Linked DNA regions of Rattus norvegicus. The protein of the gene in region 2 purifies or fractionates together with the protein of the main gene of each other region. This does not show direct contact. Links are inferred from orthologs where the notes say so. Each region holds a gene or a part of one and is shown on either strand. Other genes may lie near its edges. The genes, in order: Pds5b, Smc3, Pds5a, Nipbl, Rec8, Usp13 and Wapl.

Region 1 (4,297 bases), on a different chromosome or scaffold from region 2:
TGCCATAGCAACAATATATCTTTTAGCCATTAAACCGCTCCAGATGTGATTTTTCTATTTCAGCCTCCCTAAAAGACCATATAAACAGATTCAAGAAAAACTGCTGGGACCGAGAGATGGGTCAGCATTCAGAGCATGCGCTTCTCTTCCAGACGTCCCAAGTTCAGCTGCCAGCACCCAGATCAGGTAGCTCACAATCACTTGTGACTCCTTTGTCCTCTGGGGACACTGAATTTGCATGCTCATACCAAGCAAAAAGACATAATTGAAAAATAAAAATAAACCTATTTTTTAAAGGATGTCAAAGATGTGTTCTTAAAGAAAAATGCAACCTTCAGTTACCATGACATAAGTTAAGTGTCACAGTCACACACTAAGCATGTTATAGGCCACAGTAAAAGGAAATAAGATATGGGTATTTCATTGGTTCAGCGAGATAATCCAGGTATGTGTTAAGCAGACACAGGTTGCACGAAACAGATCTGTCTTCACAATTATTTTTATAAAAGGGGGATGCAAAAAAAAATTATATAGTTTAAATTCTATGAAGTTTTCTCTAAGGTTAATATCAGTAGAAATGGTTTTCTCCAACTATCCTTACTTCAAATAAAATTCAACAAAATGATCTCTATTCTTTATTTAAGTGAGAATCAAGAAAACTGTCAAACCTGAGAGAACACGAGTTTCGACCTCACTCTGACGAAAGGTAACCATACAGTATCCACTAGGTGGCGCTGCACATGCTAACCTCTCAACAGGGCTACTGAGCATCATGGCCTGTGGCTTCTGACTTACCAGAGGCCTGTAGCTCTAAGTGAGAAATGCTGTATTCCCTAGGATCTCCCGGAGCAGCCATGGGAGACAATGCTGTTCAGAGAACAACCCTCTGCTCTGCCATGCCTGATACCAAATCCAACAGAGCCAACACAAAGTGAGAGGACCCAGATCTAGGCCTGCTGTCCTGACACTTCCACTGCAACACTCTCAAGACATTAGCTCTCAGCACCTCTGCGCCATGAAAGTCACAAGGGCAAATAGAGAGAAAGGTCCACAGAACTAGTTATTTTCCTTATAATCTCTTTATGCAAGAGTGGGAAATGAAGTCTATTTTGAATAAAATGTTATAGGAAAACCCAGAAATTATAGGATAACCTGTATGTTAACAAATTGTCATAATTCATAAAACTTACATGAGTAAATAGCAAAAAGCATCATCATCCCCGACTCACTCTACTTTCTCTTCTTCTGAAGCTAAGACTGCACTGGCCAGCTTGCTGCTGGACACACGATCGGACAGTAATAGAGGGTACACAACACTGAATATGAAGACAATGAAACCATCAAATCTGCTCCAGACCCAGATAACAGGAACTTTTCACTATTGTGTATTCAAACAGTATGGTAAATCACTAAAACTATCACTAATCCCAGTGCTCAGAAGGCTTAGGCTAGATTATAAATTCGAAGGCAGTGTGGGCTACATATGGAGGTCCAGAGCAGCCTAGGCTCCACATCAACACCTGCCTTAAGTCGGGGTACAGAGAACCCCCGATTATAATTCAGACGAGGCATCTAACTTAAAGAGATCTAACAGTATGCATAAAGATACTAAATGTCAATCAGCTTGTGTGTGCATGCTCTGTCTTCACAGCGTTCCCCATAAACATGATAGACAGCATGGCCTACCACTCCTGGGGTAAACCTGAGGGAAGAAATACATTAGTTCCATAAAATTCAACAGATCAAGAAAATGTAGACATACTTAGAAAAGTATGCGTCCCTTACACATGCATACATGATACCGCAACCTTACATATTACTGTTCTGTAAGGCTCCCAGACTTTAGTGATGAAGACAAGTTTTCCCAACACTGACAATCACATAAGTAACAGCAGATCAGTAGACATTACAAAATGTACATGTGACCCACTAGTGAGTATTATTTTTAATATGTAAAACATTTTGCATCAGTTGAAAGAAATGAAAAAATTGTAACAAATGTCTAGTTAACACACCAGACACAGACACAGACACAGACACAGACACACACACACACACACACACACACGTGTCCACACAGAAGGAAAATTTTGCTTAAATAGAACAATAATCCTGAGTAACAAATCTGTTGTTTTGTACCTTGTCTGTTACTGGTACTTAAACATTTGAGCTGTCACAGGGACCCCTAATGCCCTGAAGAAAAAGGTGAGACACAATCTAGAGACCCCTGTCATGGAGAATGTCTCCTGTAAGCTTTACTGCCCATCTTGGTTTATTACAGTGTGCCAGAAGCAGAGACAGACACTAACAGTCACGCTCTCTTACCCTAAAAATAACCTACCAGAAGGTAACCTATAGCCTAGGACTCCTATAAATACTTCAAACTTCCTTTCCCAGACCTGAAGATTTGATGGAGGAGGGGTAGTGGGCATCAAATGTGAAGAAAGCACAAATAACTTGGTAATAGACAGAACAAAAATATCATGGGACATGTGCTAATCACTCTCCAAAGAGCAGTAGGATCCACTGTTCCTTACTGCCCTGTTCCCACAGCTCTCTCTGCCATTTGCTACTTTAAAAGAAATCCCTAACAAAGCAAGCTCCATGGCCCTCCATGAAGATCCCCACCAGAAAGGGCTACAACCTACTGCCCAGCAATCTGAAGCACACAATGTCCACTCACCTTTAGCCGCCTCACCATCTCCTCTTTAGAGATTTTATCTGAGATCTCCTTGACACCAGGAGGGTAAGTAATTTTGCCATCGTTGGTTCTTGTCTTTGAATGAGCCATGATGGAAATGTCTGTACCCCTAAAGGAAGAAAATTATTAGGTACAAACTAAAAGCAAGCATGTTCTATAATAAATGTAACAGATAAGATGTTACCGAACGATCTGTATCCGCCTCATAATTTAGAACAATTTGGACATCTACTGCTAAGTATTCTACTGAACATTTCCCAAAATTACTGAGGCAAACAAACTGACTTCTTATTTCATTAGTAGCAAGCTGTGTAGTTTGCAATAATTCTCCCCAACAAAACACACAACAATAAACAAATAAACAAACAAATGTTCAAAGTAGGGGCAGGAACAAGGGTAAATCTGATCAAAACAAGTTACATGAAATTCTCAAAGAATTAACATAAGTATACTTATTTAATAAAAAAAATAAAGTGCCATAAATGATTCAGAAAAAAAATCTAGGGGAAAAAAAATCCCAACACTCCACAGAATTAAAGCAAACGCTACAGTATTCTATCCATCTTATCTCTGATGTGATCTGCCAACAGGACAAAAACAGTATTCAGTTTCAGTGCTCACGTGTGACAAGAGGGACAGAATATTTATACCCATCAAAAACTTAAATAAAAGACAACTCTGAAAATCTGTAAAGAGTAATTATAAAAAACAAATGGTTGGACATGCAGAACAGCAGCCAATAAAAGCTGGAGAGACAAGTTCATTTGCATACAGCAAAGATATCAGAATTCGGACAAAAGAAATCATCCAGGGCACAACCAGAGAAACACAGAACTAAATACGTGAGGAGGGGGTCTATCTTGAGACCCACAGACGACTGAGCAGGCCACACAAATGCACATATCATAAGACAGCAATCACAGATTCAAGAAGCCAAAGACAATAAATTCAAAATTACAGGAATAATTCAAGAAAACTTCAACATACGCAGCACATCATATTTATATACGTGCATGCGTGAGTGTGTGTGCGTGTCTGTGTGTGCATGCATGCGTGCAGGGTTCCTGGGTCCACTTCTTTGTGTGTGCTCAAGAGAAACAAGCAAACATGTCTCACGTAAGACATTCACAAGCATTGAGAACAAACGCAAGTGTCTATCAAGCACAGTAAACTGGTATATTAATACAACTGTGGAGTCAACCAACAATCACTTCAAACAATAACACAGATTAGCACTGGAGTTAATGGAAGTACACGCCTCTATAAAAATTCTACACCATACAGAGAAAGCTCTACAACGTTAAAACAGTAGTCAAGTTAGAAAATACATGTAAAACACTTATCTGATAGGTGACTTGTAGAACTCTGATACATAAAATACAATCATAAAGTGTCAAAAGAAATGAACAGATGTTTGGAGAATACACAAGCAACAGGTAAGTGCATGAGAAGATTCAGCAGCACTGTCTGTAAGAACACAAACTCAACCTCAAGGTCTCATTACACACTGTACAAATGCCTGGAATAAAATGACACTACAGCAGGCAAGACTGTGAAAAAGCAAATTGGCACGGATCACTGGCTGCATAGAAGCAG
Region 2 (4,205 bases):
TCCCCCGCTTTGACCCTCAGGTAAGGCCTCTTCGGGACCCTGAATAACTAGACCCGCTGGACGGGTCAAATAACAACTTTCCATTTATCTCACAATGAAGGATCTCTTTAATAGTACCAGGAAAATTAGCACCAAGAAAGGCACTTTACCTTAGTTAAAACATATTAAAGAATTCTTACTTTCTTCTCAAAAGAAACTATGTTGCAAGCAAAGGGACAGAAACCTTCCTGACCACAGCTAAAACAAAAGTGTTTAACAGACCTTACTGACATGATTCTAGATAACAATCATCACTGCACAGATCACTAGGAAACCAGACACCTGAAATATTAAAGTATTTTCAGCTTAGAAGTAAAAGAAATGCCGTATAATCTAGTCACTATTTCTTTTTCTCCACTAATAGCATTTTCAGACTACAAACATCAGGAAGCACCTACAATGAAATGCAAGAAAACCGGGGTACAGTGGAGTCTTCTGTGGTGCTAACCAATCAGCACTCTTCTGTAGCTAGAGCACAAGGAGAATGCATGTTCTCTCTGCTCCCACAGAGGACTGTAGCCCATGTACCAAAGGCAAAAAAAGCCTAGCCTTACTTACTTAATGTCTAGGCCCTGCCATATGACTAGATTCACCTTCAATTCTGAACTCTCATTCTACGTAGCTGGAGGGGCTAAGTGAGCACTCCTGGCTTCCTTCATCTTAGTCCCGGGTCTCTAACGGCCTTCTGTGACACTGGCATCCTTTTCCCCACAACTGAACCTGCAAGCAGATCTCCCCTATCCTGCAACTGAATTAGATGACAATGCTAGGTGTGGTCATGAGGGTGGGAGCCCTGAGAAAGACATCAGCTGTCAATTGGACAGAAATGAGGCCTCATCAGAAGTCAATCATGCTGGTACCAGAAACCGCAATCCTCCACAACTGCATACGCACTAGAGAGCCTGCTTCTGGCTGGCCTATCAAACTGCAGCTAGGACACTAATGGCAGAACTGTGAATGCCAGACTCTGTTTTCTCATGTCTAGCACTAATTTCATCCATCCTTTAAAATTCGGCAGAATATGGTTTTGTCAGCTGTAACAGCAAAAAACACATTTTTAAACAAAACCCTTAACTAAGTACTGTTAGTGACAACAATCATATACTCTTTTTTTTTCCCTCTCCCACCCAATCATATACTCTTTAATCTCAAATTTTCATATACCTTCTCTTTACCCTTTCCATGGTCTTCTGAGATAGGTACAGGGGTCTGTTAATGTCTATCATAAAAACTCAAACTGGCAAGGGAAAAAGACCACAATTGGCAAATAAGCTATCTTTCAAAGAAAGTAACAGTGAGCGCTTGAACAAGAAAACAGGCAAAAAGCATTTAAAAATACCCTCTCGTAAAAGGTTCTGAAATAAAACACGTAATCGACAGCCTCCACACACGTGCTTAACAAGCCATTTCTACTACCTCACTTACACCACGAGGCCCCAAAATGATTTACCTCCGACTGAATTACCTAAACATTTTATAAATAAGCAATTTGTCTGTGCAGATAAGAGAAGCAGGAAATATCATAGAGGGATATTACTTAACATTCAAAGACAACTCCTGTCTCCTCTGGTCTATCACATCAATCTGCATCAACTCTAAATGCGACGTATTAAACCAAGAACACTTACCAATAACATTATGTTTTGAACTGAAGGGATCTACAATTGTTTGATCTCGGTAACTTCGGAAGCCCTGGATAATCACCTAATAAAGAAGAGACACCCTTGAGATCACAGAAAGCACCTCTATGGCAGCATTCTCTATATTTCTTGCGTCTTGTTCAATGCAAGACAGAAACATTCCAGGCAGCAAAGAACATTTCGCTTGGGAGCAGGCAAGTTAAAAATTTGCTAAAACCTTTCCAACAGTCTGCAACCAGTGTTGCTCTGGGAGAAGCTCTCAGAGTGTACAGAATAAGCTTCAACACTGCACTACTAAAGGTATATAATAGCAAGCAGGCGAGCTAGTCGCAGCCTGCCTTACTCCAAGCCCAGTGAGGGCATCTTTCAGTCAGACCACTTGCCAGGTCAAATGAGTCGACTGAAAAAAATAAACTAAAATTAAAATTAATGAGATAAAATATAAGGAGGTTGGGGTGGAATGCTCAGAGCCTGACACGTCCAATAGAAACCGTCGCCAAGCGTATATACAGGGGCTCATCCCGGAGGTGGCCTCTTGCGCGGGAAGACCATTTTGACAGAAGTAAACAACCGAGTGTGCAGGCGCGACTTGTTCTGCAGCGAGGGGTCCGCCCTTCTGGGGCAAAGCCTGAGGCAAGGGAGAGATAGCCTTCAGCCCAGCCCGTGCCTCGAGGCCACCTCTCTGGGCTGCGGCCCGAGCGTCTAGGCCGCCGTTCCGGACAGCGGCCCGTGCACGCCCATCCCTGCAGAGCGACGCGGCCTGCCGCAGCCCCCCAGGAGAGCGCAGCAGCCCGCGGCGCCCGAGAAGGCCCGGCCTCCGCCTGCAGCCCGCCTGCGCCGGGCCCCGGGCTCCGCTCCACACACCGAGCCCCGAGGGGAAGCTCCCGCTGCAGCCCCGCGCTGGGCCGGCCCGGGCCCCGCTCCTCCCCGTCCAGGCCACCCCGCCTCTCATGGCCCGTGAGTGCGAAGGACACCAGCCCCTACCTGCTTGATGTACATGGCTCCGCGCCCCTCCGCAGGAGGAAAGCTTCACCTCAGAACCGCAACAGCGCGGCGGCAGGGTCAGGAGAGACGCAGACCGGCCCCTCTCACTGGGTTCCGATCGCTCCCGCTCGCTCCCCCTGTGGTCAAATAAAATGGCGGCGGCCGCGGAGGCGGAGCCCGCGCGCCGAAGGAACCACTCTGGAATTGATGTAGATCGCAAGGGGAGTCAGCACTCCAGCCCCGCTCTGTGGCGTCGAAAAGACCACACTCCCGCGGCCCTCTAAGCGGGATTTAACCTCACAATTTATTTTATACTGCCTTGTTGACTGAGAATCAGTTGGGAGCTGGACTCGGAGGAGCCTTGCTCGACAGGCTGGCCTGTACCACCTCCGTACGCCGGGACTATGGTCGCGCCCATGGGGGGCGGGGCCTGCTCGGCGCCAAAGCCTAGAGTGAGACGAGGGGAGCCAATTGCGGAGCGCGCCGGCAGTCACGTGGCCGCCGGTCTGCTTTAAAAGGATGGCCTGTCGGACTTGAACGTAGGTCTGTCTCATTGTGACTGCTTAGGGTTCGCAGCTCCGAACCTCCGCTGCTCCGTTATTCTCTTTATTAGCTTAGAGCGCCTCCTGCTGGTTCTGATACCCCACCCCAGCTCTGAGAGGACTGGAGGATGCTAGAACATTTGAAGGCTTTGTGTTTGATTTAGGGAGGTTGTCTTTATTTCCCCCCCCCCCCCAGGCCAGCTTTCAATCCATGTCGGCCTTGAATTCACCCTGTAGCTAAGGATGACTTAGAACTCCTTACCATCATGTTTCCCTTTGTTAGTGCACGCACCCACCACACCCGGCTTAAAAGTGTTCATGAATATACTGTGAGCCTTTACTGTGTGCCATCTCCAAGTCTAGAAAGGCCTGTACCATTGCCACAAAGAAATTTCTTGAAAAATAGTAGGTACTGCGAGCAGTCCTTAAATGTATAGGATCTTTTAGCCCTGGCTTTTCCTGAAATTTGCTTTGTAGACCAGGCTGGCCTCAAACTCAGGGATCTACCTGCCTCTGGCTCCCCAGTGCTAGAATTAAAGGCCGGCACCACCACACCCAGCTAAGAGTATACTATCAGTGTAGAAGTAGAGTTCTGGGAAACTCTAAAATTGCCTGCTGGGAAAACAAAAACAAAAACAAAAACTAGTCTCGGTCGCCATTCCTGCTGCCTGGACTTAACATGTCTAGGAGGAAGGGTCAAACTTTCCTTATGCCCTCCTAGAAGTCCTTTATCTGAAACTTTGGCCAAATTCCACCCAAAGTTTGAGGGAGAAAAATTATATATATATATATATATATATATATATATATATATATATATATATATATATATATATATATGAAAAAGTTTCAATTGAAAATTTCCTTTTGTGATGCTTTGGAAAAAGGAAATTTTCCTTTTCTGTCAATTTGTGATGCTTTGGGTATATTGTGACCAACGTTCTAAGCCTTCATTCAGTTTCTAGGGATGAGGGCTGGGGTTGTGGCTCAGCTGGCAAAT
Region 3 (3,500 bases), on a different chromosome or scaffold from region 2:
CTCTGTACTGCGGGAATTATGGGAGTGAGATAGCCCTGACTTTTGTCCAGTGATCTGTTGTCTCGAGCCATTCCTGCTTGCAGTGGGAGTGGAAGAAGAGCTGCTTCTCATTAAACAAGTGACTGTGGAGTTAGTGAAGCCAGACCATCTAAATCAGCCTCGAGTCCTCCAGTGGCAGAGCACATCCCGAAACAAGTCTGACTGCCTGGCTACTGTTCCGATTCACTTCTCTCCTCTTCAAACACTGCTAAGGAAATGGGGGAGGGGCTCGAAGAGATAGCTTAGGGTTTACGAGTATTTGTTACTCTTGCAAACCATGTGAGTGAGAATCCAGTTCCAGAGGATCTGATACCCTTTCCTGAACACTGTGGGCACTTGTCACACGTGCTACAGTGACATATGCAGTAAAACAATCATACACATAAAATAAGATCAAATCTTTTAAAAAAGGAAGAAGTAGAACAGGGAGGTGAGGATTAACGCTTTTGCAGAGGACTCAAGTTCATTCCTAGCACCCACATGGCAGCTCACGACTGTAAATTCAAGCCCTCGGGGATCCAAATTGTTCTCCTGGCTTCCACAAAAACTGCAAGTCATTCGTACATACATACTAAGTAGCACACAATAGCTGGATGGATGTAGAGTGAGTGAGTGAACTGGGTGCTCCAGTTTGAATATCATGGTAGAACATGTCATGGTTACCCCAGTTATTTGGGAGGTGTGGCAGGAGGACCACAAGTTCAAAGCTCCCTCTCCCCACAGGAAGCCTAAGGAATAAGATGAATCAGATGATAAGCAGGAAAGACCTCATCTAATGGCAAACATCTGTAGCCCTGAGTGGGGAAGTGGAGACAGGTGAGTAGGCGCAGGGCCAGCTGAGCAGCACAAGCAAGGACTCCTGAACATTATCCGCTGCCATGGAGGAAAGGAACGTGGATTCTCTGAAATACCAGTCAGTACGCAGTTGCCGAGCCATTTCTCCAGCCCTGCCTTGTGGAAACCTCAGCACTATAAACAAAGGAATAACATTTACCTTATTCTTTACCGTATCAATACTCTTTACAGGTGTGACAGAAATTATTCTCACAGGATTCTCCTCATTTTCACTAACTCCAGTTTCTGATGCCTCTGAACTCTGTTCCCTACTAGAAAAACAGACAAATAAACAAACAAACAAAAAACCAAAGTCTTTTCAATTCAGAAATGAAATAATCAATTTTATTCATTGATTGGTCATATTAACTATACCCACTTGCCTGGGAGACCTCATTGGTGTTCTAGAATTTATTTTTCGGGGTGTGCTATATAATGTGGTATTCAGGTTTATAATTCCAGTATTCCAGGGGCTGAAGCAAGAGGTCTGCAACAAGTTTGCAGCACACAGCCTGACCATGTAAAAAGGCGCTGGCTCAGAAAGCGCTCTTTAAACAAGGTGTGAGGAAACGCACCTTTAACGCCAGCACCTGGGAAGCAGATGCAGCGGCAGCTGAGTCTGAGGAAAACCCAGCTTACATTATCGAGTTTCAGGCTAAGCAGAGTTACATGATGAGACCCTGTCTCAGAAAACACACAGTACACTTTTGAGTCTCATTAAAAAACCCTAAACACATGAATATTATAATTTTACATAAATCCATTATATGATCCAATGCCTTGAACGTAAACGTTAAGCCAAGCAGGAGCAAGAAAAGAAAATGTATTCAGAGAAAAATAAATTGCCTTGAACGATTTCCGGCCGAAGGACTCAGCTCTGAACTGGCGTTAATATTGCTTCCAGTCTCTGTGCCGGCACTCCTAACATAAGGCTTCCTTCCCGTTGCTGATAAGGGCTTGTTTACTGTACCTAGTACTCCAGTAGGCTTTGGCTGGAAAAAAAAGAAAGAAGAAAGAAAAATCATACCTATGTCATTTCACACCCGAGGGAAAGGAATATGTAAAAATTTAGAGCGCCTAAGACATGTGCTTTAGTGTTAAGGTAAGAGTAGTAATTCTGTTGGGAGTGTTATCAGAATTCTGGAAAAAAAAAAAAGTTTGGCTCTTTTAATATAAGCAAAAGCAAATCCACTACCTTCACTTAGTATGAGGCAATATTTGATATCTTTCCTTTTTATCTCTTATTTCTTAATTGAAACAACGCACATGCCTCCAAAACTTGTGTACGGATGCACGCAGACTTAGACTTGTGAATATACACTTTTACATCACCTGACTTTTATGAAATACAATCTTCCTATCATCTTAGCCTTTCATATCAGTCTCTCTTTATTTTCTTTTTCTTATTTACTTATTTTTTTTTGGTTCTTTTTTTCGGAGCTGGGGACCGAACCCAGGGCCTTGCGCTTCCTAGGCAAGCGCTCTACCACTGAGCTAAATAAATCCCCAACCCCTTATTTATTTTTTTAAAGACAGGGTTTCTTCATGCAGCCCTGGCTGTTCCAGAACTAAATCTGTTGGCGTTGAAATGACAGACAAATCTACATCCTGAGTACCGGGAGTAAACTCATGAGCCAACAACGCCTTTCTTATCTTCTTATTGTTCTATTATTTATAGAAATCTGTCCTACGAATTTTAAGTAAATTTGAGCTTTTCACCACTTTTAAGAGTAAGTGGCAATGCAATGGCTCTGAACAGTGGTTAATTGCAAAACAGGTCTGAGAATATTCAGACTGTAGCAATGCACACTGCGTGCCCACAAGCCTGGGGGCAGAGAAAAGAAATACAGCCCACGAAACAAAACCCCAAGCAGAAAACATACAGTACCTTTCCTGTCAACAGAAGAACTCTTGTCTCTTCCGAAATATAGCTTTTGTCATTAGAGAAGTCCTATTAAAAAGAAGAAAGAAAGAACAAAACCAAGCAAACTGAGCACTGTCATCACCTCAGCGTTGTCAGGCCCTGCCTTGCAACAGCAACGCACTCTGCTCACACATGGTACGACGACCTGGACAAAGGCAGGAGGTGTATTTTCAAGTCCATAGTGAGCACTACTGCACCAGAGAACTGCACACACTTGGCAAGAAATTTGCTGTGACCCAGTGACATAATATCCTCCACCTTTCAACATTTTAATTCTTTAGTTTGCTGGTCTTGAGACATGGCAGTCCTAAGATTTAATGTGGTGCCTTTAACGTGCTGGGAATAAAGGAATGGGGTTCCACAACCAGCAACACATATTTTATTTTTATGTTTATGAGCATTTTGCCTGCATCTGCGTTGAATGCACCATGTGTTTACTGTGCCTGTGAAAATCACTTGTAGCGTTTTAAATAAACTTCATTCCTAGTTTTTGATATTGTTCAAAGTATGATTACCACCTCTAATATTATAAAATCTACTTTACAGCTGATAAAATAGACAGTATTTATTCGTTGACGCCTTAAATTTGTAGTTTTGAGGCAGTCTCCTATAGACCAACTGTAGGGTTTCAGAAACTTCTGCCAGGCTTATCCTTCTGCCAGGCTAATCCTAGGCACTTATATTCATTAAACACCTCCATAAT
Region 4 (3,500 bases), on a different chromosome or scaffold from region 2:
ATCTGTGATGTAGAGAACAAGTGCTTACGCTAAGTCAAGTAAACCTTTTACAAACTACTCCTGTACCACACTAACGGCAATGACAAAATTTGTCACTGCAGCACTACAGAACATACTGTATACTTCTATAAAAAAATCAATATGTTTAAAGTGGGTGGGGTGCCTGCTGTGGAAGCAATTTGTAGACAGACAGATACATACACACACTGCAAAGTCAATATAACTACTCTAGGGTCTTGATCAAAACAGTTATCATACAAAATTACTATTAATTAGTGATTATAAACTGGTATAAGAATAATTGAAAAATGGATCTGACTTTAACCAACACTGGGCTTTATAATACTGAGTTTGCCTCTTCAAAGCATAACCTTTTTTAGAGTGGTGCTACAGTTCACAGATTAAATAATATAAATAATTCACATTTATACATTTTAGATTAAATTATCAATTTTAGGTTAAATTTAAGATAAATAAGGTGTGACATTTAAGGTAAATTACGTATTCATAAACTACTATAGAAGAAGCATACCAATATTCTTTCAATCAGCATATCATAATACTGCTCAGCAAGCTGAGGTCGACAAAGGACAAATCGACCTAGTAATTCCACGGCTGCCTCTCGAACACTAGTGGAGTTATCCATTAATCGCCCATGAACTCCGCGCTGCATGTCAAGCTAAAGAAGAGGGAGAGAAATGACATTTATAGCAGCGGAGATGATCTTCAAATATAAATAGAAAAGTAAAATAGACTATTTTTATTATTACCCTTGCTAGAATACTGGGGTCTACAGCAACAACCTCAGACAAACACTTCATGGCTTTTGTTCGAACGGCAATTGCATTTTCACCGAGAACTCGTAGTATCTGCCAGGCAAACATTAACATGCTCATAAATTTTAAAATAAGTAAAATTTAACACAATACAGCATGAAAATACATAAAAGAACCAAATATACTACTTACTCCTCTGTGTGAGTGTGTGTGTGTGTGTGTGTGAGAGAGAGAGACAAAGAGAGAGAGAGAGAGAGAGAGAGAGAGAGAGAGAGAGAGAGAGAGAGAGAAACTATCATCTTACTGGTCCAAAATCTTAAGTTAGACCAGTACACATAGAAAGGTATTCTATATTTTCGTTTTTTCCTTTATTTCAGTATTCTCAACTAAACATACATACACATTTATGTGTATGAGCTTCACTAAAATCTTATGTGTAACTTTTATTAAAGACAGTATTATTCGCTATGACTTGATAAACATTGATTTTCATAGTGGCATACAAACACATGTCCATTTGTTTGTACAAAGTCAGTATGCAGAGGGCAGACATAGCTAAAACCATGTGAATGAGGAACAGAGACAAATGCTGCTTCCACAGCCCATTGACACTACCCTCAAAAAAAGGTCACACCTAGTCCACCATCTCCAAAAGTAACCAAAATAAAGTAAAAATCAATCAGATCAATCAATTACCTGTGTCAAATAAATATCAAAGCTCTGGGCAAACGGCCTCATAGAGGCCAAATATCGAACAATCAAGCACGCATCATCATAGTCCACAGTATCAGAGTTCATCCTACAACAGAGAGCACTGTAACTGGATATGTTCTTTTAAATGGACATCTATGCTTCATATATCTCTGACCCATTTTCCCTGCATCTTACTTTAATGTGCTGAACTGAGAAGGTGTGGTTTTGATAATGCTTCTCAGAAACCTTTTCCGGCTCTCGGCTCGATGCATTATCTGACCAGTTGTCTCAATTTCTTTTGCATGATGCGCCCCATCAGATGATTCTTCATCTTTTTGTGATTTCATTGCTTTTTCTGTTTCCAGAGTTGTGTCACGGAACCACTGGGCTATATAGAATTTACGAGAAAACTGGAAAGACATTAGATAAGTTTGAGTTGATGAAATTAATACCATTTCTAATCAATCAGGAATAGAAGTACTGTAGTTTTCTTTAAAACAACCTCTATCAGACAGAAGCAGATTTAAAAGATAATTCCAGATAAAATTCTGAAATAGCCTGTATTACAGAATTTTTTTCCTTTTTAACATTTAACTATAAAACTAACTCAATAAAAATGATTGTATCAAATATAGATAGAGTACTACTATCAACTACTTGAGGTAGACAGTCACATGACTCAGTAAGATTTGGTGGGAAGGCCAGTGGGAAAGCTTAGGACAAATGAGTAAAATAGTGAAGGTAAAAGACCCCCAACTGTTTTCAACTCTCATCTGTACAATATTGGCACATTAAAACAGGTCAGCACTGAAGCACTTCTGTGTATCTAAGTCTACAGATTATGTGGAGTATTTATCAACTTTACGTCAGGCCTACAAAATGGACAAATTGTATACATGGCCTAGTGTATTCTGGATATGTCACTTAATTTTCGAAGAATTGCATATACACACATATATGGATTTAACAGCTTCTTTGTATGTGCTCATGGATCACCTTCAACACTGAGTGACCTATACTCATTTTTAAGATTGGCTTAGATTTAGAGATAATCTATAAGCCATATGGTGGTGGTACATGCCTTTAATCCTAGTATTTAGAAGGCGGAGACAGGCAGAACTCTGAGTTCAGCCTGGTCTACAAAGTGAGTTCCTGGACAGTCAGGGCTACACAGAGAAACCTTGTCTTGAGAATCCAAAAGCAAACCAAAACCAACCAACCAAACAAAAAAAAATGCATAAAAAGATTTCCAAATATTTAATTTTCTCTTTCCCCATTTCACTTTTAGAACACAATTTAAGTTAAAGGCAACATGAATCTCACCACCAGTGAAGGGTCAGTCTCAGTGTTCTCATCCAAATAATCAAGCAATGCCTTCTGCAGCTGCTGGATTTCATCTTCTCCTCCAGACACCTAAAGCACAACAGCAGCAGCCACAAAGTCACCGGCGGCGCATTTGTTACTGGCCCCGCCCACTTCTGAGATGTGCTCCACTATGTCTGCCTTCCAATTTGTGAACCTCTGCCCTAGCCTTCCAAAAGACGGAATTACAGATTGATAAGCACAGATCTGCTGGCATGCTTTAACAGGCTATGTAAACGTAAATCCATACCCGATGGGGAGAAATGAGCAAAACACAAGTGTAGCTATTGTAAGGAGTAAAAAGCCTGGGTTCTGAGAAACAGAACCTGCTGCCTGAGCCTGGCTGTGTGAACTACACTAGCTTTAAAGTCTGCAAGTGGCGGATGTAAAGATGATCACAAGTATGTTCTACCCTGGCCCTGGTACGGAATTTACATTTAAAAAAAAATCACCTTTTTTCCTGAGACAGGACCCACATAATGAAGCACTGTTTTGAACTCATTGTTTATTTTATACATTGTGAATATACACCAAAAGTTTAATCTAGTAAATGAGAAATGTTAACAGCTATACTGACATGCACTATACAGTTCAGGCGGTTTTATAATTACTATGGAAATAAAAATTAAGGTGAAGAAAGGGAGTGTATTTGTGGGCTCTGGAAATTTA
Region 5 (4,014 bases), on a different chromosome or scaffold from region 2:
TATTATATATAAGTACACTGTAGCTGTCTTCAGACACACCAGAAGAGGGCATCGGATCTCTTTACAGACGGTTGTGAGCCACCATGTGGTTGCTGGGAATTGAACTCAGGACCTCTGGAAAAGCAGTCAGTGCTCTTAACCACTGAGCCATCTCTCCAGCCCTTTACTTCTGTTTTGTTCTTGGTTTTGTTTGCTTGGTTTTGAAACAGGGTCTCACTGTACTGTTCTGGTTAGCCCGAAGCTCACTGTGTACACCATCATGGCCTCAGACTCACAGGATCTGTGGGACTCTGCCTTCCAAGTTCTTGGATCAAAGGCTGGTTTGTTATTGTTTTTCCCTTTCTTGCAATACTGAGCTGAGCCCAGGGCCTTGCATATACATGCCAGTCAGGCTCTCTACTACTGAGCTACATTTCCACATTTTCAGCCTGGTTTTTACTTTTTATTTATTTATTTTATATAGGATTTCACTAACTCTCCCTAACTGGGCTGTAGACCAGGCTAATCTCAAACTCCAAGAGATCCTCCTGTTGTTGAGATTAAAGGTGTGCATACCACTCCTAGCCTCTGTTTTTGCTTTTTGTTTAGAGCTAGTGTCTAAGTTGCTTAGGCTGGCTTTGAACTTGTCTCCCTTGCAAGTTCCTTGGTTGTTTTCTTTCTTGTTGAATAAAAGGCCACCTCACACTGTTTCTTGCACTTAGCACAGCATAGACCCTTCCTGGGCACAGAATCTGGTTGGTGAAATTTAGGAGTAAGGTCAGGTCCTATGTTCAGGCAAGGTACCTTCCCTTGAATCTCTGTATCTAAGCAGCACCAAGGCATCTGCCCTTTACGTGACCCTGGCTCCTAAAAGATACTATTTTTAGCTGTCACCAGGGTGAGACTGGGTTTCCTCCCCGTTTATTGGTCATCTTACACGTTGGAGAAGTCCTGTTACTACCTGAGAGAATGAGACCCCATTGGCCAGGACAGCTCACAATGCCATGGTAGCGTTCAGAGTTCTTGTGATTGGCTCGCGACTATTCTCCAAGAGCCTATAGCCTGGAACTGAGTTTTGCTGCCTAGCACCAAGAGTCAAAGCTCCCTCCAATGCGGCTTCCCATTGGCTGTGGTGGCGCAAAGCCTTGGAGAGTGTGCACCTAGTCCCGCTGGAGGGCGACCCGACCTAAAGCAAGTTCCAGAAGCTCGACGACGACGACGACGACGACGACGACGTCGACAGCGACAACGGTGGTGGCGGCGGGCGACCTCGAGCTTGAGGAACAAAGGTTTTTTGACAAAGTAAGAACTCAGTCTTGCCTGAAGATCTGTTCTGTGTCTCTGCCTGGGTTTCTCTTGGAGCTTCGCATTTCTACTTGGACGCAATCCTGAAGGTAGGTCCCACTTGCGCGATGTGCAGACCTCAGGGATGGCAGAATGAGGGATCGTCCCTCGCTTCTGCGTCTCTGGTTGTCTCCTAATTCAACTACAATAGTCAGTCGGTCATCTTACTAATTGGGCTTTTTGCATCCACGTCCACCACACCCCCTGTCCAAATTCCTACTCTTCAATGGTGCTGGAAATCCCATGTTCTCAATGAAGAATTTGGATTGAGATCCAAACGGGATTGGTGCCGAGCGAGAACCCCAGAGCGAAGATGTTCTACTATCCCAACGTGCTTCAGCGCCACACAGGCTGCTTCGCCACTATCTGGTGAGCACAGGGCTGATGGCTATACCAGGAGCCCAGTAGTGGGATCCCACCTTGACAAGCCGTTCCCCACCCCTCCAGGCTGGCCGCTACCCGGGGCAGCCGTTTGGTGAAGCGGGAATACCTGAAAGTGAACGTGGTAAAGACCTGGTAAGATCCAGAAAAGAGGGCGGAATGGGGTTTGGGGTTACTTTGAGTGTTGCACTGACCAAGGGCTTCTTGTTCTCCCAGCGAGGAAATCCTCAATTATGTGCTCGTACGAGTGCAACCTCCGATGCCTGGGCTGCCCCGCCCCCGCTTCTCCCTCTATCTCTCCGCCCAGCTTCAGATTGGTGTGATAAGGGTCTACTTTCAACAGTGCCAGTACCTTGTGGGTAAGGCTAGAGACTCTAGAGGCGGGCTAGAGCCGAAGGGCCCGTGGCTGGGTTGTTTATTTTACTGTTCTCACCCACAGAAGACATCCAGCATATCCTAGAGCACCTACACCGGGCCCAGCTGCGGATTCGCATTGATATGGAGGAGGCTGACTTGTGAGGCCCTGGAACTGAGGCCATCCATACTAAGCTGCCTGGCCTCAGCCTTGTTTTGTTTTAAACATTTGCCTGGACATGCATGCAGTGTGTGTGTGTGTGTGTGTGTGTGTGTGTGTGTGTGTGTGTGTGTGTGTAGGGGGGGGTTAGGTAGAAGAGGGGGAGAGGGGGAAGGGGGGGGACGGAGAGCTCAAACAGCATTGTATAGCATTGTATGCATGTGGAGGTCAGAGGACAACAGATAAAGTGGGTTCTCTTCCTTATGTTAGTTCAAACTCGGGGATGAAATTCAGGACTTTGGGTTTAGTGGCAGCACCTTTACCAGCTGAGCCACCCCACCCACCCTCAGCCTAGGTCTTTTCCATCCCTTGTTCTCTCCCAGACCTAGCTTGCTTCTTCCCAATTGCCTGGCCATGATGGAGACGCTGGAGGACGCCCCAGAACCCTTTTTTGGGACGATGTCTGTGGACCCTACACTTCCCAGTCCTTTTGATATTCCTCAGGTAAGGTTCACTCCCCTAGAACCCCTCAGAAATCACTAGACAACAGCAGAGGAGTTAGTTGGTGTCCCTGTCCATCTGGAGCTGAGACTGAGGGTTGGGACACTGCCTCGGGTTTCCATTAACAGGCTATGGAGCCCCAGCTCTTGCTTACTTAGGGCCAACCTGATAGGCTGGTTTCCCACATGAGGCGTTCTTCCCCCTCTACTGTTTGCACCGAGACCTGGCTCTCAGGCTTCAGCTGGGCATGTTGGGTTTTCTTCCCTGTCTTTTGGCATCTCCCACAGCTTAGATGTTACTCCTGCCCCCGTTTCCCAGCTAAGCAGCTGGTTCTGAATGCAGAGAGGATCAGCATCCAAGGACCCTCGGTACTTAGATTTAGGGGTGCTCATCCCCATTCTGGTCTCTTCTCTAGGCACCTTCCCTCTCAAACACCAGCCCATTGCACATGTCCCAACGGTGCCACCTTTATTCTTTTGCTTGTGAAAATGAGCATCCTAACCCTTTAAGAGTGGCCACTCATTCTCTGCTAGTCAGGTCCTACCAAGTCCTTCCAGACTTTGCTCAAGTGCCACCCTTTTCCAGGAAATCATTATCCCACTTAAAGCCAAAAGCAAATGACGCTTGGAATCTCAACACTCTACTAAGTCTGCTTCATCCTTTTCTTTTTTTGTCTTTTTTTTTTTTTTTTCCTGGAGCTGAGGACCAAACCCAGGGCCTTATGCTTGCTAGGCAAGCATTCTACTACTGAGCTAAATCCCCAACCCCTGCTTCATCCTTTTCATTGATCTATTGGAACTGTACACAAATTTGTCCCCACCACCAGCTACCCAACAATCTTTTCTCTTTGTCGCTGTCCACGACAACACAAATTGACGAGGCTAATTTGGGGATGAGCTTAAGGCTGGGACAGGAGGGACACTAGGTGGTGGTGGCCTCTGACATACTGTTGTCAAATGGCACAGACATCTGATTTAGGTCTGGAGGTATAGTCCGCTGGTAGAGAATTTGCTTAACATGCACGAGGCCTTAGGTTTGATTCCCAGTTCTGAAGGAGAACACACACACGCACACACAATCACACACACAGATACACCACACACATACACACTCATACCGAATATGGTAATGTAAGCTAAAATAAGAATTCAAGAATTGGGCTGGAGAGATGGCTCAGTGGTTAAGAGCACTGACTGCTCTTCCAGGGGTCCTGAGTTCAATTCCCAGCAACCACATGGTGGCTCATAGCCATCTGTAATGGGATCCGATGCCCTCTTCTGGTGTGTCTGAAGACA
Region 6 (3,500 bases), on a different chromosome or scaffold from region 2:
TAGGAGAACAGTTATTTTACTCACGCTTTACTGAAAGCCACCGGGCTAAATGCTTTAGACCCATGAATAACCACAAGAGTAGCACCATCAATGTCCCCAAGACAAGGAATCTCGAGTACTCACACTACAAATAAGAAGAAGCAAAGCCCATTTCTCAGATCTGAGCTGAGACAGCTGTGAGATGCCAGTCATGCAATGGTACACTCACCTGCTCCATCAGGCGTGATGGTGCCCAGCTTCACGGCCAGAGGATAGCCCATGTCTCTGTAATGCTCCAGCGCATGGCCATTGCCCCCCGAGCTGTCAAAAAACCACTTCCCACACAGAACAGAGCCGTCAGTCAGATTCAACCAGAGGTTCTCCCGCAGGTCACATCGGGCACACTTCCAGCCACTAGAAAGTCACCAGAGAACAATCAGGACAGCCAGTACAAAGGGAAACATTGATATGTGAAAACTGAACAGTGTATCCTACTGCTGCACTTCCCCAGTGTTCTTACCCAGGGATATTACTGTTCCCGTCCAGAGCCCAGGACCACCCGGTACCCTTCCTGCTTCCGAGACTGAGCCATAGATCTCCAGTGTGGCTCTTTTAAAATGAAAATTGATGTATGACATGAAGCGCGAGAAAGAGGCCGTGTCCTCCAAACTCCCGCTTGCAGGACAGTGGTTCCTGAATAAGGTACAAAAATGGAGGATCCTATGTGGAAGACATTCCAAAACATCACACATACACGATAAAACTGATGGAGATAACAACTATGCTATAGTCCAACTTGGGCACATCCCAGGAAGAACTGCATGTTAACGCCATGGTCTTCTGCATGGCATTGTGAACCCAGCATGTCTGGAAAGCTCTTACATGGACACAACGCGCCTGTTCAACAGTTGTCTAGATATTTGTGTTTGGGGTTGTAGATTATTGGTACAATCAGCTTTGGCCAATGATGTTTGTCTCTGCAGTGAGCGGCAGGGACCACGGAGAACATCTGGTCAACATCACACTGAGAACAAGAGACCGTAGAACGCTCAGCTATCCCTGCGCTTCTACAAGACTCCTCTAAGGCTCATGAGACTGCAAGAAGAACATGAGATGTGGAGTGTTGTGGAAAACTGTCTTCTGGGTGTGTCACAGCCACTGCTGCACTCCTGAATTCACGGTGCCTGTGACTACAGGATTGGGCCCATTCTATCATGGAGTAGAGAGGCACTCATGAGGCCTGCCCCTCCCTGAAAACTTATAGGCAATTAATAAGCTTGGGGAGGGAAACACCTTCTTCAATGGCATAGTCATTGGTAAGATGCCATTGCTCCTATAAATAACCTGTGCTCCTCTAAGCAGCCCTAACTCAACTCATGGAATCCCCAAAAAGAAAAGCATTAATGTAGAAGGGACTGGTTTGAAAGAGGAAGGTGATCTGCAAGAGTGACAGGGGATGCGAGGGGGTAACAGGAGTGAACGTGAGCAAACGATTACATACATGTATGAAAACATTATAATGGTGCTGGCTACTTCTTATGTCAACTGACACAAGTAAGTGTTGTTCTAGAAGAGGGAACTACAATTGAGAAAATGCCTCCATAAGATTGGCCTGTGGGCAATCAGTTTTCTTGATTGACAGTTGATGTGGGAGGGCCTAACTCACTGTGGATGGTTCAACCCTTGTGGCAAGTAGTCCTGGGTGTATAAGAAACCAGGCTGAGCAAGACATGAGGAGCGAGCCAGTGAGCAGCATTCCTCCACGGTCTCTGCTTCACTTCCTGCCGCCAGGTCTCTGCCCTGCTTGAATTCCTACACTGATTTCCCTGAGGGATAGATTGGTTACCTGGAAATATAAGATGAAATAACCCCTTTCCTCCGTAAGTCGCCTTTGGTCATGGTTCCTTATCACAGAAATAGAAACTAAGTAATACAACAATCAAACATGAGACCTATTATTATGTTCACTGAGTGTACTTTTTATTTTTAAGATTTATTTACTTTTATGTGTACACTGTTTTGCCTGCATGTATGAAAGTGCACTATGTGTGTATCTGGTGCCATTGGGAGACCCCCTGCCCAGAACTGGAGTGAGAGGCAATTTTAAGCTGCCATGTGGATGCTGGGAACCAAACCCAGGTTCTCTGCAAGAGCAGCAAGTGCTCTTACCCACTGAGCCACCCTTGCAGCCCCCACTGGGAAATATTTTAAAAGGGAACATTAGAACTCAGGACCGGCCTTGTCTCTCTTTCCACCCACCATGAGCTAAACAGCCTGTAGCACTGTAGGTCTCCCGCCTGATATGCTGTATCACCACCACCTAAAAACAACGGGGCCAACTAACCGGGACTGGTGCCTCTAAAACCATGAGCCAAGGCTAACTCCCGTTTATGATTTTGACCCATCTCAGGGGTTTGTTATAAAATGACTGACATACCCTACCACACTACAGTTCTAAATTCAGAAAATAAGTGGACCAAACTGCACACTAAATGCCAGTTATGTGTCAAATGACTATCGGAAAGCCCCATCGTGTGATTCTAGCAAATTCTGCTCAGTGTCAGTGTAAACATCCTTCTTCTGTGGAGGTAGAAAATGAGGCCAGCAGTGGTCTGCTTACCCCAAGCTACTGTCTTAGGACAGAAAGTAGAGTGGGCCCACGTCAACGAAACTGGACATATCTCTAAGCGCCCCTTGCTCTTCCTCTGAGACCTAGCTTCTGAGTCCCCGAGAGCATTCTGGTCCCTTGGAGACTGCCCAACATTGTGTCAAGTCTGACCCCCTAGACTGAAGTCAGACCTAGATGTGTGGGAGTTGAGCCCAGCAGAATGGGAAAGACAAATAAGAAATGGAAAAGCCAGCATAGGATATGTCAACAAGCAACCACCATGGACACCTGGCACTCAGGCCTGATGAGGAACTCCAGGGGAGAAGTGTCCCCCAAGGGTTTGATGCACTGGCTCTGCTGCCCGTGTGAGGTTCCAGAAGGACAATGGCTTCAGCTGCCATGTCTGCCCATCCCCTGCACTGCCCAGCAGGTGTTACAGGTAGAACGTCCCTGAGCTGCACCTGTGTGCAAACACCTGGTTTGCTGCAGGACAGCACCTGGGCTTAGGCTGAGGACTGAGAGCACTCAGCACCTGCTGCAAAGGCCAGAAATGTTCAGAGAGAAGGTTTCATCTCTGACTTTTATTTGTTTCTTCACTTTCTTTCTTTTGTAAAATAATTCTTAAAGTTAGCATATAAGATAGTGGGTCTCATTGTGACATTCCACACACATGAATTAGCTCAGTTTGTTCTAGAAAGTCTCCCCCCACAGCCCTTCCTCATGCCCCTTCCTTTCCTTCTGTTTTCATATCATGTGTGCTCCATCGCCTCTGTTTCACTGTCACTACAGATCTCTCCCTGCAGTCACAATCGCCTTTCAAGCATCATGCCCTATACATACACAAATAGACATGTGCATGTGTTTGTGTGCACACACATAAATTTAACTCTAAGTCCACAAATGAGAGGAAACA
Region 7 (3,500 bases), on a different chromosome or scaffold from region 2:
TGTTCTTATTGTAAAAGCAAGCCAAAACACTACCAAACCTGATGTATGGAAGTAAAGAATGGAAAATTAACCTCTTCAGCTCATTTATTTAAACTAGTTTAAAAAGTTTGCGTGCTGAATGTTGAAAACTATATAAGGAAGTCCTAGGATCTTATTTTTTATAGAATGCTTAAAACTTGTTAAAAATTTGCTAATTATATTTTCTCAAAATTCTTTCTACAGGGAATATGAAACAGGTGTCAAAATGACATCCAGATTTGGGAAAACTTACAGTAGGAAAGGAGGAAATGGCAGTTCAAAATTTGATGAAGTTTTTTCCAACAAACGGACTACTCTTAGTACAAAATGGGGAGAGACCACATTTATGGCTAAATTAGGGCAGAAGAGGCCCAATTTCAAACCAGATATTCAAGAAATTCCGAAGAAACCTAAAGTAGAAGAAGAAGATACTGGAGATCCTTTTGGTTTTGATAGTGATGATGAGTCTCTACCTGTTTCTTCAAAAAGTTTAGCCCAGGGTAAGGGTTCCTCTTACTCAGAATCCAGTGAAGCTGTTCAGCTGGAAGAAGTCACTTCAGTACTTGAAGCTAATAGCAAATGTAGTCATGCGGTGGGTGAAGACAGTTTTGCTTCTGATAGATGCTTACTTGTGGAGGATTCTTTAATTGGGAAAGAAAAGAACACAAATAGAATTCCAGAAGACAATGCAAACAAAAGTAGTTGTACTAAGTTGATAACTTCAGGTAAGTTTTGATGTATTTAAAGCCATTTATGTGATACTGAAATTCTAATTTATTACTTGTGTGCATGCATGTGTTTGGAAAGAAAAGGACAACTTTGTATAGTTTTTTTCCATGTCTACATGGATTCTAGAGATAAATAAATGGAGGTTGTCCGGTTTGCATTTCTAGCACCCCTACTGAGCTGTTTCATTAGCACCTTAAAAGGCCCAAGTGGTTGCTGAGTTGCGGTGGTGCGCTCTTCTAATTCCAGCTCTTGGGAGGCAGAGGCAGGCTTATTTTGGAGTTCAGACCCCTGGACTGCTAGGACTGTTATGTAGAGAAGCTCTGTCTTGGACCCCACCCCCCCACAAAGGATGTGCGTGGTTGCCATTTGTTTTTTTTTTTTTTTCCTCCCTGCATTTATGATTAGTAGGAGATATTGATAAGTTTGTTTAATGTGTGTGTATGTCTCCTGCATAAATGTGCACTGTGCATGCCTGCTTCCTTTAGAAGCTAGGAGCTACTGAAGTTAGACACCATGTGGGAGCTGGGAACTGAACCTGGGTCCTTTGGAAGAGAAGTCAGTGCTCTTAAATGCTAAACTATTTCTCCGGTCCCCTTATAAAGCACTTAAAACTTTTCAGAGCTCAATCAGATTTAAATTTTAATTCAAACATCTTAGAGACTTGTTACTTGGTATTATTTTGGGAACAGTCTTTATACATTGATTTGTTGGATAGTGTTTTTTATAATACTGTGAGTTTATTGACTGTCTACAAGGAATTTGTTGTAGTCTTAATGTAAATAACACATCAAGTAGGATAGGGAGTGTGACTTGCATTGCTTTGCTAAAAGTGCTGAGCTTTTTTTCTAATTTTCTCAACCTTTGGGTGAGTGAGCTAGCTTTTGTTGTCGTCCTCTTGATCCTCTGGGCTAATAATCATTTTGGTTGTTGCTTTGTTCATATTTCTCCTAAAGCATTGTTCTTACCTTAAGCTAGATTTTCATAAGAAAACAAATCAAAAGAAGCCTAACATTGTTTCCAGATCAGCTTCTAAAATTTATCATAAAGATACAATTTCTGAGTGCAAATGAATTTTTTACTCAACTCTGCTCACTTTGTAAAGTTTGGAGAGATTAGGTAACTTTCTAAGATCAGCTAGTGGCAAAATTAGAATGAGGTTTTTTTTCAATTACTTTTAGATTTATTTTTTTTATAAGTCTGCATGCATATATATATATATATATATATATATATATATATATATATATATATATATATATATATACACACACCATATGTATGCTTGCTGGCCACCAAGGTTGGAAGAGGGCATCTGATTCCCCTGGGACTGGAGTTACAAACAGTTAGGAACTACGATGTAGGGTCTAGGAATTGAGCTAGGTCCTCTGCAAGAGCAGCCAGTGCACTTAGCCACTGAATGAGGTTTCTTGGTTGTTCAGATGTTGTTGAGCCTACTATCTGATTGTAGTGTTTAATTGTCGTTTCTTGCTGATTCCAGATAGTTGTCCTACACAGGAGGTAGGTAGCCTGTAGAAGACTAAAGGTGCAAGTTTGTTAACGTCCTTGTGGAGGATCAAGGGAGAATGGGGCCTGGTGGCAGAGGGTCGAGGGAAAAAATGTTTTATAAGAGGAATAGGAGTATTTGTAGGAGGTATCTAATTATGTTTCTATGGTGGTAGTGTGTTTTTTTTTGCTTTTGTTTTGTTTTGTTTTGTTTTTTTTGGAGCTGGGGACTGAACCCAGGGCCTTGCTTGGTAGGCAAGCGCTCTACCACTGAGCTAAATCCCCAACCCCGGTAGTGTGTTTTTACATTTGTTCAAATTGCTGTTGGAAGTTGCTAGAAATGCAGTAATCTGTGGAATAAAATAGCTTCACATTCCAGTGTAGCTGGATTGTAGTTCTGATGATGCCTGTAGTTGGGTTGACCCTGATTCCAGACTCCATTATAATAAAGTTTGAGGAGAAAATACATACAAAAATAAAGATAAACAGGTATTCTAGAAAAAAAATCTAGTTTTGCTTCCCTTGTTATAAATGCACACTTAGTGGTAAGGGACTTATGCCACAGAATGAGTTTGTGTATTTTCCCTTGACTTTCTGAAGCTTGCAAACTCTGGCAACTCTTATAGGGTAGGAAGCAAACTTGAAGTGTCTTTAATTTTTGTAATAGTGTTAACTTAAAAGTGTGTATAAGTCAGTTATTTTTATAAACCATGTATAAGTTCATGTATTTAGAAGTTGGCTCTGTAACAGAATGCTTTTGAGCTTTATAGATTTTCTTTTGCCATTTCACCTAAACTTTTGGGATTTCCTGATTTTGCATTTTTGTCATATTGTCAGTTCTTTAATTTTACTCAGAAAACTTAATTTGTTTTTATCAACAACTTGTTCAAAGTATGTAGATGTACTTGTTCAAAGTGTGCAGGTTTAAATTAAGTTCCATAGTATCTTTTCAGTGAGATATTTGTTCACTCTTTTCTGTAGTTGAATTATTTCACACCAATAAGAAAAGCTTATCCAAACTTAAAAGAGTTTTATCAGTTTTTTTCTAATAATTCACATTAAGTTCATCTTTTCATCAGTAGAGAATTGTGATTTCTTTTTCGAAATTACACTTTTTTGTTTTAAATACTTCTTAATGGGTAGTACTTTTAAAGATTATGGTTAACTTGAAGAGGAAATTCGAAGTGAAGTCATAATAAACCAGAATGGTTTAACTAGTCAGCTAGTCTAGGGGTAAAGCCTGAACACCT

Evidence for each region.
Region 1: the proteins of Smc3 (region 2) and Pds5b purify together in Homo sapiens (co-immunoprecipitation; 7 studies listed by BioGRID and IntAct, with this or other methods). This does not show direct contact. The link is inferred for Rattus norvegicus from reciprocal best matches to the Homo sapiens genes SMC3 and PDS5B.
Region 3: the proteins of Smc3 (region 2) and Pds5a purify together in Homo sapiens (affinity purification with western blotting; 8 studies listed by BioGRID and IntAct, with this or other methods). This does not show direct contact. The link is inferred for Rattus norvegicus from reciprocal best matches to the Homo sapiens genes SMC3 and PDS5A.
Region 4: the proteins of Smc3 (region 2) and Nipbl purify together in Homo sapiens (affinity purification with western blotting; 4 studies listed by BioGRID, with this or other methods). This does not show direct contact. The link is inferred for Rattus norvegicus from reciprocal best matches to the Homo sapiens genes SMC3 and NIPBL.
Region 5: the proteins of Smc3 (region 2) and Rec8 purify together in Homo sapiens (affinity purification with mass spectrometry; 3 studies listed by BioGRID and IntAct, with this or other methods). This does not show direct contact. The link is inferred for Rattus norvegicus from reciprocal best matches to the Homo sapiens genes SMC3 and REC8.
Region 6: the proteins of Smc3 (region 2) and Usp13 purify together in Homo sapiens (affinity purification with mass spectrometry; 4 studies listed by BioGRID and IntAct, with this or other methods). This does not show direct contact. The link is inferred for Rattus norvegicus from reciprocal best matches to the Homo sapiens genes SMC3 and USP13.
Region 7: the proteins of Smc3 (region 2) and Wapl purify together in Homo sapiens (affinity purification with mass spectrometry; 7 studies listed by BioGRID and IntAct, with this or other methods). This does not show direct contact. The link is inferred for Rattus norvegicus from reciprocal best matches to the Homo sapiens genes SMC3 and WAPL.

Annotation. Positions count from the first base shown.
Region 1 is NC_086030.1:5,089,445-5,093,741, reverse strand, and holds the start of Pds5b (sister chromatid cohesion protein PDS5 homolog B), read right to left. Parts: upstream 2,801-4,297; 5' UTR 2,792-2,800; coding exon 2,684-2,791; intron 1-2,683. UniProt on the Homo sapiens protein: Regulator of sister chromatid cohesion in mitosis which may stabilize cohesin complex association with chromatin. May couple sister chromatid cohesion during mitosis to DNA replication.
Region 2 is NC_086019.1:262,605,686-262,609,890, reverse strand, and holds the start of Smc3 (structural maintenance of chromosomes protein 3), read right to left. Parts: upstream 2,801-4,205; 5' UTR 2,679-2,800; coding exon 2,664-2,678; intron 1,744-2,663; coding exon 1,668-1,743; intron 1-1,667. UniProt on the Homo sapiens protein: Central component of cohesin, a complex required for chromosome cohesion during the cell cycle. The cohesin complex may form a large proteinaceous ring within which sister chromatids can be trapped.
Region 3 is NC_086032.1:42,989,833-42,993,332, reverse strand, and holds part of Pds5a (sister chromatid cohesion protein PDS5 homolog A), read right to left. Parts: intron 2,825-3,500; coding exon 2,762-2,824; intron 1,866-2,761; coding exon 1,720-1,865; intron 1,146-1,719; coding exon of another isoform or gene 1,143-1,145; coding exon 1,034-1,142; intron 1-1,033. UniProt on the Homo sapiens protein: Probable regulator of sister chromatid cohesion in mitosis which may stabilize cohesin complex association with chromatin. May couple sister chromatid cohesion during mitosis to DNA replication.
Region 4 is NC_086020.1:59,160,778-59,164,277, forward strand, and holds part of Nipbl (nipped-B-like protein), read right to left. Parts: intron 2,883-3,500; coding exon 2,793-2,882; intron 1,880-2,792; coding exon 1,665-1,879; intron 1,576-1,664; coding exon 1,473-1,575; intron 870-1,472; coding exon 771-869; intron 680-770; coding exon 533-679; intron 1-532. UniProt on the Homo sapiens protein: Plays an important role in the loading of the cohesin complex on to DNA. Forms a heterodimeric complex (also known as cohesin loading complex) with MAU2/SCC4 which mediates the loading of the cohesin complex onto chromatin.
Region 5 is NC_086033.1:33,078,604-33,082,617, forward strand, and holds the start of Rec8 (meiotic recombination protein REC8 homolog), read left to right. Parts: upstream 1-1,214; 5' UTR 1,215-1,373; intron 1,374-1,581; 5' UTR 1,582-1,636; coding exon 1,637-1,692; intron 1,693-1,770; coding exon 1,771-1,839; intron 1,840-1,920; coding exon 1,921-2,063; intron 2,064-2,143; coding exon 2,144-2,219; intron 2,220-2,601; coding exon 2,602-2,722; intron 2,723-4,014. UniProt on the Homo sapiens protein: Required during meiosis for separation of sister chromatids and homologous chromosomes.
Region 6 is NC_086020.1:117,546,943-117,550,442, reverse strand, and holds part of Usp13 (ubiquitin carboxyl-terminal hydrolase 13), read right to left. Parts: intron 394-3,500; coding exon 209-393; intron 1-208. UniProt on the Homo sapiens protein: Deubiquitinase that mediates deubiquitination of target proteins such as BECN1, MITF, SKP2 and USP10 and is involved in various processes such as autophagy, endoplasmic reticulum-associated degradation (ERAD), cell cycle progression or DNA damage response.
Region 7 is NC_086034.1:10,015,110-10,018,609, forward strand, and holds part of Wapl (wings apart-like protein homolog), read left to right. Parts: intron 1-222; 5' UTR 223-244; coding exon 245-743; intron 744-3,500. UniProt on the Homo sapiens protein: Regulator of sister chromatid cohesion in mitosis which negatively regulates cohesin association with chromatin. Involved in both sister chromatid cohesion during interphase and sister-chromatid resolution during early stages of mitosis.